Oryctolagus cuniculus: one gene and its partner. The protein of the gene in region 2 purifies or fractionates together with the protein of the main gene of each other region. This does not show direct contact. Links are inferred from orthologs where the notes say so. Each region holds a gene or a part of one and is shown on either strand. Other genes may lie near its edges.

Region 1 (9,621 bases), on a different chromosome or scaffold from region 2:
TATGATAGAGATGTAGACGAATGGCTGTGTGGGTAAACATTCATTTACTTCCTAGGTCTATCCACTGAGATGACGGGAAATGACACCCCCACCCAATGAGCACACCGAGCACGCAGACTTGGATTCTAAATACCATTCTTCTCTAAAAGGAGCCAAGGCTCTTGGAGAAATGACGGCTACGACGCACTTAGTGCAGCTCTCCCACAGAGCTTATGAAGCCAGCGGACAGGCGATCAGCCTATGAAGCCAGCGGACAGGCGATCAGCCTATGAAGCCAGCGGACAGGCGATCAGCCTATGAAGCCAGCGGACAGGCGATCAGCCTATGAAGCCAGCGGACAGGTGATCAGCCTATGAAGCCAGCGGACAGGTGATCAGCCGCCACTCGAGACGGCTGGTGCGATTTAAGGCATCAGTGTGTCCGCTGGGGGTACTGTATTCTGTTCCTGATCTGGATGGGCTGTACCGTGTCTATGCAGCAGAACGTGCCCTTGCGTTCAGGAAACATCCATGAATATTTCAGGTTCATGGGACATTATGTACGCAACTGGCTCTCCAACGCCCTCAAATGGGAAAAAGGAATAAAGCATGTCTAGAATGACAGAGAAAGAATGGTAGGTAAGGGGCCGGCACTGTGGCGCAGTGGGTGTAAGCCCTGGCCTGGGGCGCCAGCATCCCATATGGGCGCCAGTTCTAGTCCCAGCTGCTCCTCTTCTGATCCAGCTCTCTGCTGTGGCCTGGGAAAGCAGTGGAAGATGGCCCAAGTCCTTGGGCCCCTGCACCCACGTGGGAGACCAGGAAGAAGCTCCTGGCTGCTGGCTTTGGATCAGCGCAGCTCCAGCCCTTGTGGCCATCTGGGGAGTGAACCAGCGGATGGAAGACCTCTCTCTCCCTCTCTCTGCCTCTTCTCTCTCTGTGTAACTCTGACTTTCAAATAAAATAAATAAATCTTTTAGAAAAAATGATAGGTAAATGTAAAATGCTAATAATTGGGGACTTTGGGTAAAGGGTAGAAGGGAGCTATTTCACACTACTTTTGCAACACTGCTGTCAACTTGAAATTGTTTAAAAAAAGCAAAAATATATTTTCAAAGACAATTTTAACATGAGAAAATATTCAAACTAAGTGAAACGTTATTAATTTTTTTTTTTGACAGGCAGAGTGGACAGTGAGAGAGAGAGACAGAGAGAAAGGTCTTCCTTTGCCGTTGGTTCACCCTCCAACAGCCACCGCGGCTGGCGCGCTGCGGCCGGCGCACCGTGCTGATCTGATGGCAGGAGCCAGGTACTTCTCCTGGTCTCCCATGGGGTGCAGGGCCCAAGCACTTGGGCCATCCTCCATTGCACTCCCGGGCCACAGCAGAGAGCTGGCCTGGAAGAGGGGCAACCGGGACAGAATCCGGCGCCCCGACCGGGACTATAACCTGGTGTGCCGGCGCCGCAAGGCGGAGGATTAGCCTAGTGAGCCGCGGCGCCGGCTGTGAAATGTTATTATACAAGCATGTAGAACTATCTAAGTTTTGTTGAAGACGTGTTATTTAAATCAATCAACTGTGTTTATTTTTTAAATGCAGAGTGACAGAGAGAAAGAGACAAAGAGAGACACACACAGAGAGAAAGAGCTCTTCCATTCGCTGGTTCATTCCTCAATGGCTGCTACAGCCGGGGTTGGGCCAGGCAGGAGCGTTAGCGGGTCTCCCATGTAGGCGAGGGCCCAAGCACATGGGCCCGCATCTGCTGCTTTCCCAGGTGCACGTGGGCTGGCAGCAGAGCAGCTGGGCCTGGAACTGGCACTCACACAGGATGCCAGCCTTGCAAGCAGCTGACGAACAACGCTGAGACAACACCAAGTTCTCGACTATATTTTCAGAAGCATAAAGTAAGCTAACAATTGCCGTCAGTCTGTGCTAGAATACCCATCCTATATCAAAACAAAACAGAATGTGAGCACCCATGCCACCAGAAGTCAGTGTATTCTGTAGATGTAGCTATCTTTGGGTACAGGAATCAAGATGCGTGGTACTGGCACAACGACAGAAAACTGTATTGATGGTGGGGCAGGTGTCTGAGTCAGTGGTTAACGGGCTGTTAGGGAGGCTGGCGCTGTGGCACAGAGGGGTAGGCTGTTGGCCTGCACTGCCAGCACCCCATACTGGTGCCAGTGCAAGCCCCGGCTGCTCCACTTCAGATCCAGCTGCCTGCTAATGCCCCTGGGAAAGCAGCAGCAGATGGCCCAAGTGCTGAGACCCTGCACCCACGTGGGAGACCAGGAAGAAGCTCTAGGCCCTGCTCCGCCCATTGTAGCCATCTGGGGAGTACACCAGGGGGTGGAAGATCTGCCTCTCCCTCTTTCAAATCCATCAACCTAAAAAAAAAAAAAAAAACACACACTAATGGGACAGAATTGACAGAAACTGACTCATACACAGTCACCTGATTTTTGACTTTCACAATAAAACTTTCCGTGAATATTTGCTAATGGTTTGCTCACACACACACACACACACACACACGCTCAGTTTGGCTCTCTTATTTCCTGTCAGACAGCTTTGGCTTGCTCCAAAGAGCATTTATGTTGCTTTGCCATGAGCCTCAGGACCAGCTTTGGGTGTTCCTGCACAGCCTTGGAAAGTCCCCCTCACACGGGCACAAAGACACGTTTCGGTTTCCGATTCTCGGGTGAGCCCCGACTTTCACACATCAACTCCCCGCCCACTGCCCTCGCCGGGCCAGGCAGAGAGAACTTCCCGTACCCTCCCTGCAGGCTGGCCGTGACCTTCCCCGCTCTCCGCCCTTTCACTTAGGGTGCAGCTATTTTAAGGGTTTCAACTTCAGGCGGAGCTGGTTGTCAGTTTCAGCATCTCAGGTGTTAAAGCAAAAACTCCCGCAAGGTTGCCCAGACCGCAAGTCTTTCTGGGGAGGGGCCCAGCGGCGCTGACGCTCACCGCTGCGTTTCGGTTCCTCCATCTCCGGCGGGGGCTTTTCCACTTCTCCTGGGACTGCAGCCGTGCGGTCCTCATGTATGACTCCATTCACGCTTGGGTTGCATAGAATTATTAGTATTCTACACACACTTGGGCTGGGACTTTTGCTGCTACCTCGCCAGACCCAGAAATCCTTGTATTAATTTCAAAAGCAGGAAAGAACGCTATTTGTAACATGTCAGCACCCACGTGCTGTGAGGGGTGCTGCGTGGGCTGCTCGCTCTCTTGCCGGTTCTGATGGCCCAGCGCTATCTCAGAGCCCCTCACCGTGGACGGGCCGAAGGGCTGGGCCTGCTCCTGCGTCCCGGTCTTGTGTCCAGGTTAGCATTTTCTCTAGGACCCGGCCGACCCTCACGTTGGAGCCCAGCGCCCATCCACGGCTGGGTTCCCAAAGAATCTGTTTATTCCCTCATCCACTTGCTCATCTCCTCTTGGGGAGCAAGACAGCTAGAGCGCATAGCTGTGGCCCGAAGAATCCATCCAACACTTCCTTACTGCGCACCCACTATGGGCCAGGCCCTAGTCCGGTGGAGGGCAGGACAGAGTCCATTCCCCCACGGAGAGGCCAAAACTACTCTAAAGAACATATTCACAAGCTCCCAGCGCGGTCAGACAGGGTCGCGGGCTCCTGCTGCAGGCGCCAAGGCACAGTACGGACGTCTGATAACAAGACGGGCAGCGTGGTCAGCGAGGCAGACAGGACCCCAAATAGGGCGGGATGGTTGGGGCGACTCCTGAGACGTGGCGTGGCTAAGGGCGGGCCGGTAGGGTGGGCTAAGGGGGCGCCTATGGGGACAGCCATGAGGGGCCTGGGCTTCCGTCCGAAGCCAGGGCAGACCCTGGGGGAGCCCAGCAGGAGGGCGGTCATCCTGTGGCCGGTGTCCGAAGCCAGGGCAGACCCTGGGGGAAGCCCATCAGGGGCGGGGGTCATCCTGTGGCCGCTGTCCGAAGCCAGGGCAGACCCTGGGGGAGCCCATGGCGGGGGTCATCCTGTGGCCGGCGTCCGAAGCCAGGGCAGACCCTGGGGGAGCCCCGCAGGGGGGCGGTCATCCTGTGGCCGGCGGAGCAGCCCCGGCGGCCGCCATCGTCTACCTCGCCACCTCCGGACATCCACCCTTTCTGCGGCGGCTCCTCTCGGGGCTCCAGGCCACCCCACCCCGAGCCCGGTCCGGAGTCTCTCTCCAGCACGGAAGCTAACTCTAAACTCGTGCAAACTCCCCCTCCGCACCCCGCCGCGGCAGAGGGCGCCCCGGGAGCCCCTCCGGGACCAAAGCCGGGCGCACACCGGGACGCCCCCATGGGTAAGTCGCTGGCGGCGGGCGCAAAAGAGGCCGACTCCACGCGTGGGCGGAGAGCCCACCGGCGACGGGCGTAGCGAAGGGAAGGAGGGGTCGCGGCGGGACGCGGGTCAGGGGCCGCCGAGGGCCCAGCGGCGGGCGTCTCCACCGCCGGACCCCACACGCTCCTCAGCGGCGCGCGGGAACCGCCGGGCTGGACACTGTCTTTGAAACAAAAAAAAACGAAAAAACCCACAAATGCCTGTCCCGCGACTCGCGGGGGCGGAAGATGCGGGACGCTGCCCACAGAGAGGCGAGGCGCAGCGCTCCCGCGGGGCAGTTCGAACATCCCGGAAGCCGCGCCCTCCCCGGAACCGGAAGCGTCGCCGCCACGAGCCCGCCCGGGGCGGGGCCACGGCGGGGACTGCAACTCCCACAATGCAGCGCGGCGCTTCCGGTTTCCGGCGCGAGGGCCTGAGTGAGTGTTTACACCGGCGGCCCTGCGGCCGGGTTCCTTCCGCGGGACGGGTGAGGGCGCCGGGCCCCGGGTCGCGCGGGCTGCACGGGGGGCGACTGGTTAACTGGCCGCGCGAGAGCGCTGGGGTCGCCGTGGGACAGCGCCCCTGCCCCCACCCGTCCCTGTCCGTGATCGTGACCGGGTCTCGATCGCGGCGTCGAGTGGAGGGATGGTGCTGCCCGCCTCGGGAACGCGTGTCCGGCTTCAGTGAGCGCGGTGCATATAAAAAGCCCCCTTCCCGCATCTCTTCCCTGTCTTGAACCTGGGGTGGGAGGTCCCTTGGGGGTGCAGCCTCGTGGCCTTTTCCGTCCTCTCTGCTGCCAGAGGCCTGCTTGAGGCGGTAGCGATGCCTGTGACAAGGGCCTGACCCGAGTCTCCCACCCTCAGAGGTTCCCGATTTATTTTCTGGCCGGCCGTGTGTACCAGGGACGGAGACCCTAAAGGCGGCAGATTTTAGGGTCTTCTTGGCAGTGTGGGGCGGGGGCGGGGGCGCTGATGGGAAGCTGTAGCCCCCTTTGCCTCCAGGGGGCAGGGGACGTGGACACGGAGGAGGTTGTAGGTGGGTCGGTCTTGCTAGAAGTGTGCCAAGAGGCCAGAAAGGGAAGAGGACACGGGTGAGCGGGCCTGTGCCCTGGGCGGTGGGCGGTGGGCGGCGAGGTGGGGCCGGGCGGAGCTCTGATGGGGCGGAACCTTCAAGCCGGGCCGTGCAGGTCAGAGCGTGGAGCCGCTGGAGCGGTCATAAGCAGAGAAGTGACCGGACCGCACCTGCGTGTCAAAGCGCTGGGGGGCCGGCCCGGGGGGAGGGGCAGCGGTTAAAGGCCCCGCCCGGGCGCCGCCTCCCACGTCGCAGTGCGGGGGTTCAAATCCCAGCTCCTCCTGCTGCACTTCAGCAGGTGAGGGCTCAAGGAGCTGGACCTCGGCCATGCACCTGGGACACGTGGGTTGAATTCGGGGCCCCCAGACACTGGCCGATGGGCAATGGAGAGTGGCAGGTGTCTGTTTCCGTGCCTTGCAAATAAAATGTAAATAAATCAGGTTTACGATGGTGAGTTGGGTGGCCTCGTGGAGGTTTGGTGAGAGGCAGCAGGCAGAGAACTTGCTATGAAGCCGGGAGTGAGTGGGTAGACGAGAGGGGGCTGGGTGGTTTCCTTTGGGCCTCAGGACATTCCTGTGGGGTTGGATGGTGCTGCAGGCCCCTGCTGCCCGACGCAGGATGAGTGCTGGTTCTGGCCCAGATGCTGCATCCCGGGCTTCAGGACACCTGTCTCAGTCAGCCCCTTGGCAGGTGGGCGTGGTGGGGAGGGGCCTGAGCTCCGGCCACTGAGGCTGTGTTCTTTCACAGGGAGAAAGAGAGAGCGCGAACGAGAGAGGATGTCTCTCTCAGACTGGCACCTGGCAGTGAGGCTGGCTGACCAGCCCCTGGCCCCCAAGTCTGTTCTCCGGTTGCCAGAGACAGAACTGGGGGAATACTCGCTGGGGGGCTACAGTATCTCCTTCCTGAAGCAGCTGATTGCCGGCAAACTCCAGGAGTCTGTCCCGGACCCCGAGCTGATCGGTGAGCCTCCGCGTCGAGGTTGGGCGGCTCTCGGCTCTCTCTGAGGAGGGCGCTTCTGGAGTCCTGGGCTTGGATTTGTCTGGAGGTGTTGGTACACCAGGGACGTGCGTGTTGGCTGACCAGACACACGTGTCTTACAACAAAGCGGCTGGTTGCCGTCTCAGTCCGTGTTGTACTGACCGCTTCACCACCAGCTGCTCGCCTGTGACCTCACTGAGCTCTGCCTCTCGAAGGGCAGACACCTGGGAGGGAGGGTCGGCCGGGGAGGACTGCTCAGCGGGTAGCATTCGGGACGATCGATTGGAAGGTCTTTTTTGTTCTTGCATTGTCCCGTTCATTTGAATCTCGCAGCGTCCGCAGGGTTAAGCTGGAAAGCTTTTCTGTGCCAGTTTCCGTGTAACTCCATTTTATGAGTTTGTCCTAACAATTGTTAAAATCCATTGATTGAAGCCGGCATTGTGATACCGCCGCTCGTGATGCCGGCATCCCATACAGGTGCCGGTTTGAGTCCTGGTTGCGCTGCTTCCAACCCAGCTCCCTGCTAATGCGCCTGGGAAGCCAGCAGATGATGGCTCAAGAACTTGGGCCCTTACCACCCACGTGGGAGACCCGGATGGAGTTCCGGGCTCCCGGCTTCAGCCTGGTCCATCCCCGGCCATTGCAGCCATGTGGAGAGTGAGCCAACTGATGGAAGACCTCTGTCTCTGCCTCCCCCTCTACCCGGCTCTGCCTTTTGAAGAAAGAAATTTTTTTTTTTTTTTGACAGGTAGAGTTATAGACAGTGAGAGAGAGAGACAGAGAGAAAGGTCTTCCTTCCATTGGTTCACTCCCCAAATGGCCACTATGGCCAGAGCTGCGCCGATCTGAAACCAGGAGTCGGGTGCCTCCCCCTGGTCTCCCATGCGGGTGCAGGGCCCAAGCACTTGGGCCATCCTCCACTGCCTTCCTGGGCCACAGCAGAGAGCTGGACTGGAAGAGGAGCAACCGGGACTAGAACCCGGCGCCCATATGGGATGCCAGCGCCGCAGGCGGAGGATTAACCAAGTGAGCCACAGTGCCGGCCCCAAAAGAAATACTTTTTAAAAAATCTATTAAATAAGAGTGTCCTTTAAAGTGTACATCACTCCCCAGCTGTCTGTGCGACCAAAGTAAGGTTCTCCGGGGCCAGAAACTGTACATTGTTGGAGGAGCAAACTGTAAAGGGGCGGTTCTTCTCAGATTTGATCTACTGTGGCCGGAAGCTGAAAGATGACCAGACCCTTGACTTCTATGGCATCCAGCCTGGGTCCACTGTCCACGTCCTGCGCAAGTCCTGGCCTGAGCCTGATCAGAAACCGGGTGAGTAGGGGTCGGCCGTCGCACAAGTGGGCGGGCCTTCTGTGAGGGAGGGGTCAGCGTGCTCCCCAGGCAGCAGTAGGGGGGTTGGTTTGTTACTTACGGGATCAGACCGCGTTGGTAAACAGAGTCCCGTTTGGGCCTTGCTGGCCGCTGCGGTGAGATGTGTGTAAGTTCCACTCACTGCCCTCGCGGGGGTTGGAACGTGGGTCTGGTCACAGTGGCTCTGGGTCCCTCCTTTAGTGTTGTTCTCGGCCCCGGGAAAGCTCCGCTCTTCCTTCTCATTGGCAAATCCTCACGCACGTCCGCCCCTCGGGCCCCGTCAGCTGACTCCCCTGCCTTCCTGGTGTGCACGTGGCTCTTAGCGTGTGCAGAGCTCCGAGGCCTCCTGATCCACCCACAGAAGGCGCCGCTTGGAATTCCCAGTGGAAATCTGTTCGGCGTACTAGCTCCCCCGCCCCCAGGGTAAAGCCACGTTGTGTGAGAGAGATTGACTTGTTCGACTCGCTGTTGTGATGTTCGCGATCGCTGTGACGAGCTGTCAGCCTAGGCCGACATTCCTGCCGGGAACGGGAAGGACAGACCATCTCCTGACGGCAGCGAGGAAGAGAGGGGCAGCCCTGCAGTGCTGTGGGCCTGGACACCTGCGCCGGCCGCCGGCCTCGCACAGGGACACCTGCGGCCACTGTGGGTCAGGCCAGAAGCAGGGTCCAAGCCTAACGCCTGGCCCAGACAGCCCCTCTCCTGGCACGCTGCCTTTCCCCACGTGCACCTGTCGTTTTCCTTCCTTGTAGATGAGAGTTCTAAAAGACGCCCAGTCGTGAGATCACCCCACTCTGCCTCTGCAGACCTCCCAGCCCCAGCCCAAGCCCGAAGCCTGCGTCTCTGGCTGGAGCAGTGGGCCCAGCTTGCTCGGATGCGGGCGGGCCGCGTGCTCTCTGGCTGGAGGAAGTTGACAGAAGGAAGAAACATGTGTGGCTCCCGTGAGCCAGGCTTTCCCTTTGATGCCACACTCCATCATCCCAGCGGCCCTGCAGGGGCGGCGGCGGCATGAGCGCTCCGTAGATGCAGAGGCCTGCAGGGGTATTATTCAAGGTCACCTACTCAGAAAGCAGAGCTGGGGCGGGACCTGGGTTTTCCTGGCCTGCAGAGCCTGGCTTCTTCCTGCCCCTCTTAGCCCGTTGCCAGCTCGGGATAGGACGAGGCCTTCTCCTGGACATTTATGTTTGAAACAGATGGACTTCGAGATCTCGAAAGAAATTGATTTGTGACACCATTCAGACTTTCTCCGTGGGCACTGCTCCAAGGAAGCACGTCTCTGGCTCTCCTGCTGGATGGGAGCCAGCCCTAGATGTCCTCGGTCCTGTGGGGCGGGAGACGGAGCCCTGAATTCAGGGTCTCACGTCAGCCTGCTCTAGGCCCACGGGTGTGCACGTGCCCCGAGCTGCAGTCCCAGGCAGCCGCTTGCTGCTCCTTCAGCACCCACATTCTGCTTTGTGCGTGTTCCTGCTGAGGCTCGGGGTACCTTCTTCCCCCAGGAAACACCTCTGCGGGAGGCAGCCGTGTGTCCTGGCCCTGCCTCAGTGATGGCCGTCCGCCGCCACGTTCCCAGTGTCCGAGCTAGGACGAGATCTCCGCTGGCGTGTGTGACCGTGGGCTTGTCCGTTGCATCCGGTCTCCTTTCTCCTGCCAGGGGCTCCCTGGTGGCGGGTTCTTGCCTGCAGTCCTGTGCCTGGCCCAGAGCCAGGTGTGGGCTTCACGCGCAGCAGGTGCCTTGGGTCACTTAGGTGCATATTTGTCGAAGGAGGCACCCTCATGAGGAGCACCGAGCCAGGGGCACGCTGCCAGGTTGCACCCCGGGGTGCTGTTCCCCTCGCTCTGGGAGTGTTGCCCTGGAGCTGGGTGGTGCAGAACGTGTAAGGTCACAGGGAGCGGCCTTGAGCAGTGCCCAGGG
Region 2 (8,910 bases):
GAAGGGGGGAAGAACACGAGCAGCTTGAAGCACCTGCTGGCTTCCACCTGGGGCAGACAATACAGGACCAAGGGCCTGCGCTGTGGCTGCTGCTTGTGGTGCCAGCATCCCACATGAGCACCAGTTTGCGTTCCAGCTGTCCCATTTCCAATCTAGCTTCCTGCCAATGTGCCTCGGAAAGCAATGGAAGCCGGCCCAAGTAATGGTGGGAGACCTGGATGGAGCTCCTGGCTCCTGGTTTCTGCTTGACCATTGCAGCCATTTGGGAAGTGACCCATCAGATAGAACACCTCTCTCTCTTTCTCTCCCTCTCTCTGGAACTCTGCCTTTCAATTAAATAAACCTTAGAAAAACCACATTGCTTGAGAAGTTAACAAAAAAATAATAAACTAAACTAAAAGAACTGAGAAGAATTGAGAGATCGGCATGTTATACACACAGACAGATCCACGTAACTCATTCTGGAATACATACATAACTGACCTTAGAATTTCAGGAAAAATACAATTAACCTTGAAGTGAAATTGTGATATGAAGGCATTTCAGTAAAGAAGGTGAAAACAGCACAAACTTTAAATTCTAGGCTTTCAGCCCAGAGCCTCGTAAGTTTCAGCTCCTATGACCTAAAATCTGGGTCTGCAAGGAGGGGACGGAGCAGGCGAGGCTGTGGGGCACTCACAGGAGTAAGGCCGCCGACTCCCAGCCACCTGGGCAGGTTAACTGAGCCAACCACAAAGCAGCTCACCAACATGGGAAGGAAATCCTACAAAAACAAAATGCTCATGTCTGATAGTTTTTGGTACACTGTGCTAATTAATGGTAGGATCTGGTATCTGCTAGTTGGTCTGACAACAGAAAGCTCAGAAAAAGCAACACATGGATAACAAAACGACAAATAAGAGAGGGAAACAGAGACAGTCTACCTGCAGCGCGCTGTGTTTCAAGCTGAGACTCTTCCCCTGACGTTACTGTCTCCTGACTATATTCACGGCACTTCCCAAACGTGAACTCTGATCATGCAGGCTTCTATCTGTGCATCGCTGAGGCTAACTTTCCTCTGAGCAGTTCTCGTAGATAACAATGAAAATATATCATCTGCTTGTTTAGAATGAAAATTTTAAACTCTACGTTTCCTGGATAATAGGCCCAATATTCCTTGCACTTTTAGATGTCTGAAATGAAAAGTATCTTGTGTTTGACAGCGAGCGGCCCTGACAGCTGCAAGGAGACAGCTGGATGTGGGTCCACAGGCAGCGGAGAAACTCCTTAGAGGGCGCTGCCTCCCGCGACTGCCATTCCTCTGAGTCCATTCTCAGCAAGACGTTCCTTTTAACTTTTCTAATTCCAAATTTGAAGTATGATTTCTTTTTTTATTAAAGATTTATTTATTAGGGTCGGTGCTATGGTGCAGCGGGTTAACGTCCTGGCCTGAAGCGCCGGCATCCCATATGGGCGCCGGTTCAAGACCTGGCTGCTCCATTTCTGATCCAGCTCTCTGCTACGGCCTGGGAAAGAAGTAGAAGATGGCGCAAGTCCTGGGGCCCCCGCACCCGCATGGGGGACCCAGAAGAAGCTCCTGGCTTCAGATTGGCGCAGTTCCGGCCGTCGTGGCCAATTGGGGAGTTTACCAGCAGATGGAAGACCTCTCTCTCTCTGCCTCTCCTCTCTCTGTGTAACTCTGACTTTCAAATAAATAAATATTTTTTAAAAATTAAAATAAATAAAGATTTATTTATTTGAAGGGCCAGTGCTATGGCATAGGAGGTTAAACCTCTGCCTATGGCGCCGGCAGACCATATGGATGCCAGTTCTAGTCCCAGCTGCTCCTCTTTCTGATCCAGCTCTCTGATATGGCCTGGGAAAGTAGTGGAAGATGGACCAAATACTTGGGCCCCTGCACCCGCCTGGGAGACCCAGGGGAAGTGCCTGGCTTCGGACCGGCTCAGCTCCAACCACTGAGGCCATTTGGGGAGTGAACCAGCAGATTTAAGACCTTTCTTTTTGTCTCTCCCTCACTTTGTCTGTGGCTCTAATATAAATGACTCTGAAAGGCAGAGTTACAGAAAAAGAGGGAGACGAGAGAGAGAGAGAAATCTTTTATCCCCAAATGGCCTAATGGCCCTGTGCTTGGCCAGGCCGAAGCCAGAAGCCAGAACTCCATCCAGGTTTCCCACGTGAATGGGTAGATGGCAGGGGCCCACAAACCTAGGCCATCTTCCATTGCTTTCCTGGGCACATTAGCAAGAAGCTGGATGAGAATTAGAGTAGCAAGGACTAGAACAGACACTCACATGGGATGCTGGCATGCAGACAGTGGCTCAACCCACTGCAGCACAATGCTGGCCCCATGTTCCTTTTAATTTTCCTTAAATTCAAACCCCTCACTGTCACTTGAAATATTTTTCAAAGTATTTCACTAAGACATGAAAAGCAACAATGTTTGTAGAAGACTTTATCTTATGCCAGGCAATACATCAGAAGGCACTCAGAATATATTAGATGGCAGATGTTAAGGTGCCCACATCCCATAGTGGAGAGTCTGGGTTCAATTCCTGACCTTCGCTCCTGACTCCAGCTGTCTGCTAACACAGACTGTGTAAGGCTACAGCAGTGATGGCTCCAATAATTGGGTTCTTGCCATTCACAGGGAGACCTGGATTGAGTCTCTGCCTCCTGGCTTTGGTCCTCAGCCCAGAGTCATTACAGGCATTTGGGGAGTCGGCCAGTGGGTGCGTCCTCTCTGTCTGACTGCATCTCTGGCTCTTAATTAATTATTAAAAAAATAGAGAATTTTCAAAGGTAAAAGAGTTTGGTGTATTTTAGTGATAATTGGTAACGTACCAAACAGCCAGATGACTTTCAAGATAAAGAAGCAGGAGTGGGAGGTGGATGAAATAAAACTAAATAGGAGGGGCTGGCACTGTGGCATACAGGTAAAGCCACCACCCGCAGTGCCGGCATCCCATATGGGTGTTGGTTCGAGTCCCGGCTTCTCCACTTCCAGCTCTCTGCTATGTCCTGGGAAAGCAGTGGAAGATGGCTCAAGTCCTTGGGTCCCTGCACCTGCATGGGAGACCTGGAAGAAGCTCCTGGCTCCTGGCTTCGCATCCGCGCAGCTCCAGCCGTTGCGCCCAATTGGGGAGTGAAGCAGTGAATGGAAGACCTCTCCCCCTCCCTTTCTCCTTCTCACTCTTTCAAATAAATAAATAAATCTTTAAAAATAAATAAATAAAACCAAATAGGAATTTTTTAAAAAAATGAGAATGTAGAATAAGCCCCAAATAATAGGACCCACCCTAAACATGCCAAAGGAACTCAGAACCATAGCATGGAGAGTGGCCAGGCTCACCAAAGCTCAGCCCAAGTGTCAATGGTCAAAGTTGACTTATGGGGATTTTTTAGATTCAAAGTGAAAGAGTTGGATTTGAATTTTGAAGGCCATTCTGAAGGAGTGATGCATAATTTATATGTATAAATTTATACTATCAATAAACCTCTAAAATATTTAAAGTAGCTCTTCATTTTTCCTCAAAAACTTTTTAAAAATTCATGATGCTTTTACAACTGCAATATGCTGAAATCTTAGAAACATATCACAGTGAAGTCCTAAGAGGATCTAAAAAATTATACCTCCCTCTTGGAGAGGATGTGAACTGCCTTTTGATGCCTCCATCAGCAGTCCCACTTAATCGTGTAATGCACCTAATCAAAAAGCAGCTTGGGGGTCCACATAGTGGCACAGCAGGTTAGGCTGCCCTTTGGGACACACACATCTTGTACACTGGCTCCAGTCTGTGTTCCGTCCCAGCCACGCTGCCTCCGCCCAGCTCCCTGCTGATGTGTGTGGCAAACAGCAGAAGATGGCATTAAGTCCCTGCCACCTGGCTTCAGTGTGGCTCAGCCCCAGTGTGGCCATCTGGAGAGTGAACCATTACATGGAAGATTCTCTCTCCTGTCACTCTGCCTTCCAAATACATTTTTAAAAGTCTTAACAACAGAAGAAACATAGCTCAATCCTCTGAAAACACGATGAAACGACTCATGGGGAGGTAACGCCGTCCCACGAGCGCAGACTGAATCCCATTTACACCCCAGACAACCTGCTTCCCAAAGGGACTCTGCTGCAGCTCCCCCCCTCTACTAACTTCTCAACGGCAGCCTGGAAATCCTGCTTTTCGCAATGTGAGGCAGTCAGACTTGTGCAGGTTCAAGTTCCATAAACTCATTCAAGAGATGCATGCCAAGCACCACCGGAGGCCCCGGGGCACAGCACTGAATCAAACGGACGGAGGCCTTGTAGATGTGGCCGTTACACTGAGGGGAGTGGCAGTTAAAAACCAACTAGGCGCGTGCTATGGAGCCAAATACCTGCAGCGCACAGCAGAGGGAGGGGGCACATCGTGTTTAATGTGATGAGGTCAGGGGTCAGGGTCAGTGACCCTCTGATGAGACAGTATGCACACAACACACAGAGGTGAGGGGAGATGTCCAGGGAGGGAGGGGGGAAGAAGGGTGAACTCTGTAGTGGAAGAGACCAAGCTTTGCCAGGGGTGGAGACGGGCTCCTCAGGAGGAGGCCTGCTGACTTAGCAGAACTCCCGCTGCGTGAAGAGACACGCCCACCTCTGGGATCCGTCCTGGAGAAGCAGTGACGGAATGTCCAGCGACTCCCTGCACGGCTCCCTCCTCTATCCTGCAAGCCTTCTCCTGAATTCCGCCCAGCTCAGCGCCGTGCACCTGACGGCTCCTGCAGTCTCTCGATCCTCGGCAGTTATTTGAACGGTGCGGGCAGAAGCTTTGACTTGGTGCAGAGGAAACTTCCAATTAGGAACCAAAGTGTTCAGCAGTGAGTCGGGCATTAGAAAGAAAGTGCTAGTGCACTTTCTTACTCCAAGTCACCTAGAAAACCCTAGTAGCACTTTTCACTCTGTCTTCGGGGGTGCACATGTGGCAGCATCAGGAACCCTGCGTCAGCCTCTGCCGCCCTCCCGAAGGCTCCTTTACACGGAGTCTGGCTTCACTGAGGTCAAGAAGGTGCTCAGAGAAATTCAGGGTTAGAAGCGAAAGCAGGATCCCTGTTCCCTCAGACGGAATGTCCTTCACGGGATCTGCTTCTCTCTCCCCTCTCCCGCTCACACACACCCCAGGTCCCAGCCCTCTGCCATCCTCCACAGCAGTAACCCTTGCAGCTGCATTTCGGAAAGCAGTGGATGACTCACAGGAACACTCTCACAACGGACAAAGGAAGAGTTCCAGACCTAGAGGCGGGGGAACTGAGTGATGATTTAGTTTGCTTTCAGGTTTGTAGTAAACAATGACACATACAGTTGTCTTCCACACTTACCAGACAACAGCAATGACAATGTGCCACGTGCCCCTTTATCACGAGAAGGTCCTGACACTTACACACTGCCTAGCCCCCCACTTGACCCTCTCCTGCCTGCAGTCAAAGCGCACCCTCATTAGGGCTCACAAGTTAGTTCGTAAGCACTATGCACATGCAGGGTGAGCCGGCACTCCTGATACCTGGACCCAAACTGGACACAAGAAACATCATCACCACCACCACCACCTTCATCATCATCATCACCATCATCATCATCATCCTCTTCATCTTCTTCATCACTACTGTCCCCAGCAAGTGCGAGGAAGAGGAAGGAGAAGGGATTGTCGTACACACTACCTCACAACAGAAAGCAAAAAAGGCAGTCAGGGCAAAGGAGAAACAAGACGCGGAGAGCTTTCGCAGCCGCTGTCTTCTTACGGAAACCTTCCCTAGAAGCTTCGTCCACTGCCATGCAGAAGCACAGCGGGACATCTGAGAGGAGGGGCCGCCTTCGTGGAACTCTGCTTCTTTCTAAGAGGCGGAAGTGACATGCAACCAAAATCAAAGTGTCAAGGCAGCAGCGCCACTCAGCAGAAGCAAAAGGCGCCGGGCCCAGATGTGCCCCCCAGCTCCCCGCTCTGATGGTGTTTTAGCCACCAATGGCACCAGCACAGAAACTCAAAGAGGTGCTGTGAGCCCCAACTCAAAGACAGCCCTGACCACAGTCTCTGAAATTCATCTGCAACAAATGACAGGTGAACCAGACTGCAGGAAACAAAGTTCATTCTCTCTCCCTTTTGTACACAGAGGAGGAGGGAAGAGAGGGATGTGCAACAAGAGAGCAGCCCACGCTTTCGGACGCGGTCAAGGTCTTGCAGAAGTGCGGAGTCAGCCAGCGATACGGGTTAATAACCCCAAAACAACCCCCAAATACCCCTGAGGTCAGTGCCACACAGCGGTTCTCCCAAAGCATGTTAACCTCATTTCCCTGCACTGCACACGCACACGCAGCTGCTTGCTGACCGATACCTAGGAGAGGTCCTCAGGGGGGACAGACGTCTGCGTGTAGCACTGGGCGAGGCGGGCGGGAAGGGCGGGCCCATGCTGCTGGGCCGCTGTCTGGAACTGCTAGTGGGTACTGCCTGGGGGCTACTGGTGAGCGCACGGAGGCTTGGGGAGCTTGACGGGACGCTGATGCTGGGGGACCGGGGGGTGGGACAGGGGGCACCCCCCCACGGGTGGGTGACAGTGTAGGGGCGATAGCGGGGAGACGAGGGCTGGCTTCCTAGAGCAGTTCCAGAAGCTGTGCTGTGAGGACTGAGGGAAGCAGAGGCAGAAGGCGTGGCCACCTGGCTGGCTGCCCGGGAGGGTGAGGCAGAGGGTGGACCTAGCGTGGGCACAGAGCTCCAGAAACTGGCAATGGGGGTAGGGCTAGTTTCATAGAGGCTACATTAGTAGAGGGAGGGAGGAGAGAAGAGAAAATCAAAGAAACATTTGAGATAAGTAACTAAAATGGAAAGCATCAGGATTTTAAAGAAGTGTACAGTTACATCCTGTATCTGCAAACATCTAAATAACCATAACCTAATTATGGACTCAGCCATGGGCTACATTTATAAAGCCCACTCCTCAGTAAATAGTATAGCAGACAGCCATTTGCTTCTAAGATTTAACTGCCAATGGCCTAACCGTGGATAGCAAAGTAACAAAACACCACCAAAAAACCCCCAATTTGGAAATGATATCACTTCCAACGACTGAACCCAACCCCCAAACAGACTATATACCGTAATCTGTGTGACACAGATTCTCATCATGAGTAAACCCTCCCTTTTCTTATGTATTTCACAGCTAACCAATCAGATGTGCAGAGAGAACCACACTGACCTAGACAAAGAGCTGGCCCCGAAGGAGCCCACACTGCAGAACATGGGGCTTGTTCCTGGGTTGGAGCCAGCATTCAGCATGAGATTTCTGTCTGGTGACCGAGCTGCTGCTGCAATGGGCTGGGATGTGGCTGTCAGACTGGCAAAGGGGTTTTCATCTCTTGTCTGAGTAGACATCATTAGTACTTCCATTAAAATCTGGCCAATTAAGTCCTTAAAATCAGAGAACACTGTTGGAAAGGCAGAACAGAGAGCAGGTTACACACAGTTCTTCATTCGCGTGATCCTCAAATAAACCAAAATGATCCAGGGTGGCTCAATGTGGTATCCCAGACTGGATTCTGGAGCAGCAAAAGGACATGAGTGGAAAATCTGGCAAAGATTCAAATAAAATCTGGTGTTTAGTTAACAGCAATCTTGTAGTTTTTGAAAAACATGTTATGCTCATGTAAGATATCAACATGAAGGGAAATTGGGAGAAATGTACATAGGAATGTCCTACACTATCTTTGAACCTTTTCTTTAAGTCTATAAAATTATTCCAAAATTAAAAGTTCATTTAAAAAAAATGGGCAAACTGGTTAAGTTGATGCTTGGCATGCCTGCTTCCCATATCGGAGGGACTGGTCAACTCCCAGCTCTGCTTCCAACCCCTCGTTCTGCTCAGGTGCACCCTGGGAGTCAGCAAACGATGGCTCAAGTACTTGGTCCCTGCCAGCCACATGGGAAACCTAGATTGAGAGCTGGGCTCTTGGCTTTCTCCTGGCCCTGCCCTGGCTGTTGCTGGCATTTGAGAAAGGAGCCAGCAGATGGAAGATTTCTCTGTCTCTCTGCTTTCAAATTAAAAATGAAACTAAGTTTAAAAAAAAAAGTAAAATAATATAAAAGCGGGAATGAAGTCACTGCTGTAAAACACAAAAAAGCTGGGGCCGAGCTGTGGTGTAGCAGGTTATACGTCCTCCTGTGGCGCCAGCAACCCATACAAGCACCGGTTTGTGTCCCAGCTGCTCCTCTTCTGTTCCAGCTCTCTGCTATGGCCTGGGAAAGCAGTGGAAGAGGCCCAAGTGCTAGGGCCCCTGCCACACATGAGAGACCTGAAGAAGACCCTTGCTCCTGGGCCGGCGCCGCGGCTCACTAGGCTAATCCTCCGCCTAGCGGCGCCGGCACACCAGGTTCTAGTCCCGGTTGGGGCGCCAGATTCTGTCCTGGTTGCCCCTCTTCCAGGCCAGCCCTCTGCTGTGGCCAGGGAGTGCAGTGGAGGATGGCCCAGGTGCTTGGGCCCTGCACCCCATGGGAGACCAGGAAAAGCACCTGGCTCCTGCCATCGGATCAGCGCGGTGCGCCGGCCGCAGCGCGCCGGCCACGGCGGCCATTGGAGGGTGAACCAACAGCAAAGGAAGACCTTTCTCTCTGTCTCTCTCTCTCACTGTCCACTCTGCCTGTCAAAAAAAAAAAAAAAAAAAAAAAAAAGACCCTTGCTCCTGGCTTCGGATCAGTCCAGCTCTGGCCACTGTGGACATGTGGGGAGTGAACCAGCAGATGGAAGACCTCTCTCTCTTCCTCTGTCTATAACTCTGCCTCTCCAATAAACAAATCTTAAAAAGAAACAAAAAAAAAAAAAAAAAAAAAAAAAAAAAAAAAAAAGAAGCAGCTAACCCTAGCTTAGGGGATAGTTTACCACACTATAAATGCAACCAGG

The links.
Region 1: the proteins of UBE4B (region 2) and UBL7 purify together in Homo sapiens (affinity purification with mass spectrometry; 3 studies listed by BioGRID and IntAct, counting the BioPlex papers as one, with this or other methods). This does not show direct contact. The link is inferred for Oryctolagus cuniculus from reciprocal best matches to the Homo sapiens genes UBE4B and UBL7.

What each region holds. Positions count from the first base shown.
Region 1 is NC_091443.1:109,214,006-109,223,626, forward strand, and holds the start of UBL7 (ubiquitin-like protein 7), read left to right. Parts: upstream 1-4,656; 5' UTR 4,657-4,698; coding exon 4,699-4,738; exon of another isoform or gene 4,739-4,993; intron 4,994-6,119; coding exon 6,120-6,332; intron 6,333-7,550; coding exon 7,551-7,670; intron 7,671-9,621.
Region 2 is NC_091438.1:158,077,889-158,086,798, forward strand, and holds part of UBE4B (ubiquitin conjugation factor E4 B), read right to left. Parts: intron 7,442-8,910; coding exon 7,213-7,441; intron 6,772-7,212; coding exon 6,355-6,771; intron 5,679-6,354; coding exon 5,526-5,678; intron 1-5,525. UniProt on the Homo sapiens protein: Ubiquitin-protein ligase that probably functions as an E3 ligase in conjunction with specific E1 and E2 ligases. May also function as an E4 ligase mediating the assembly of polyubiquitin chains on substrates ubiquitinated by another E3 ubiquitin ligase.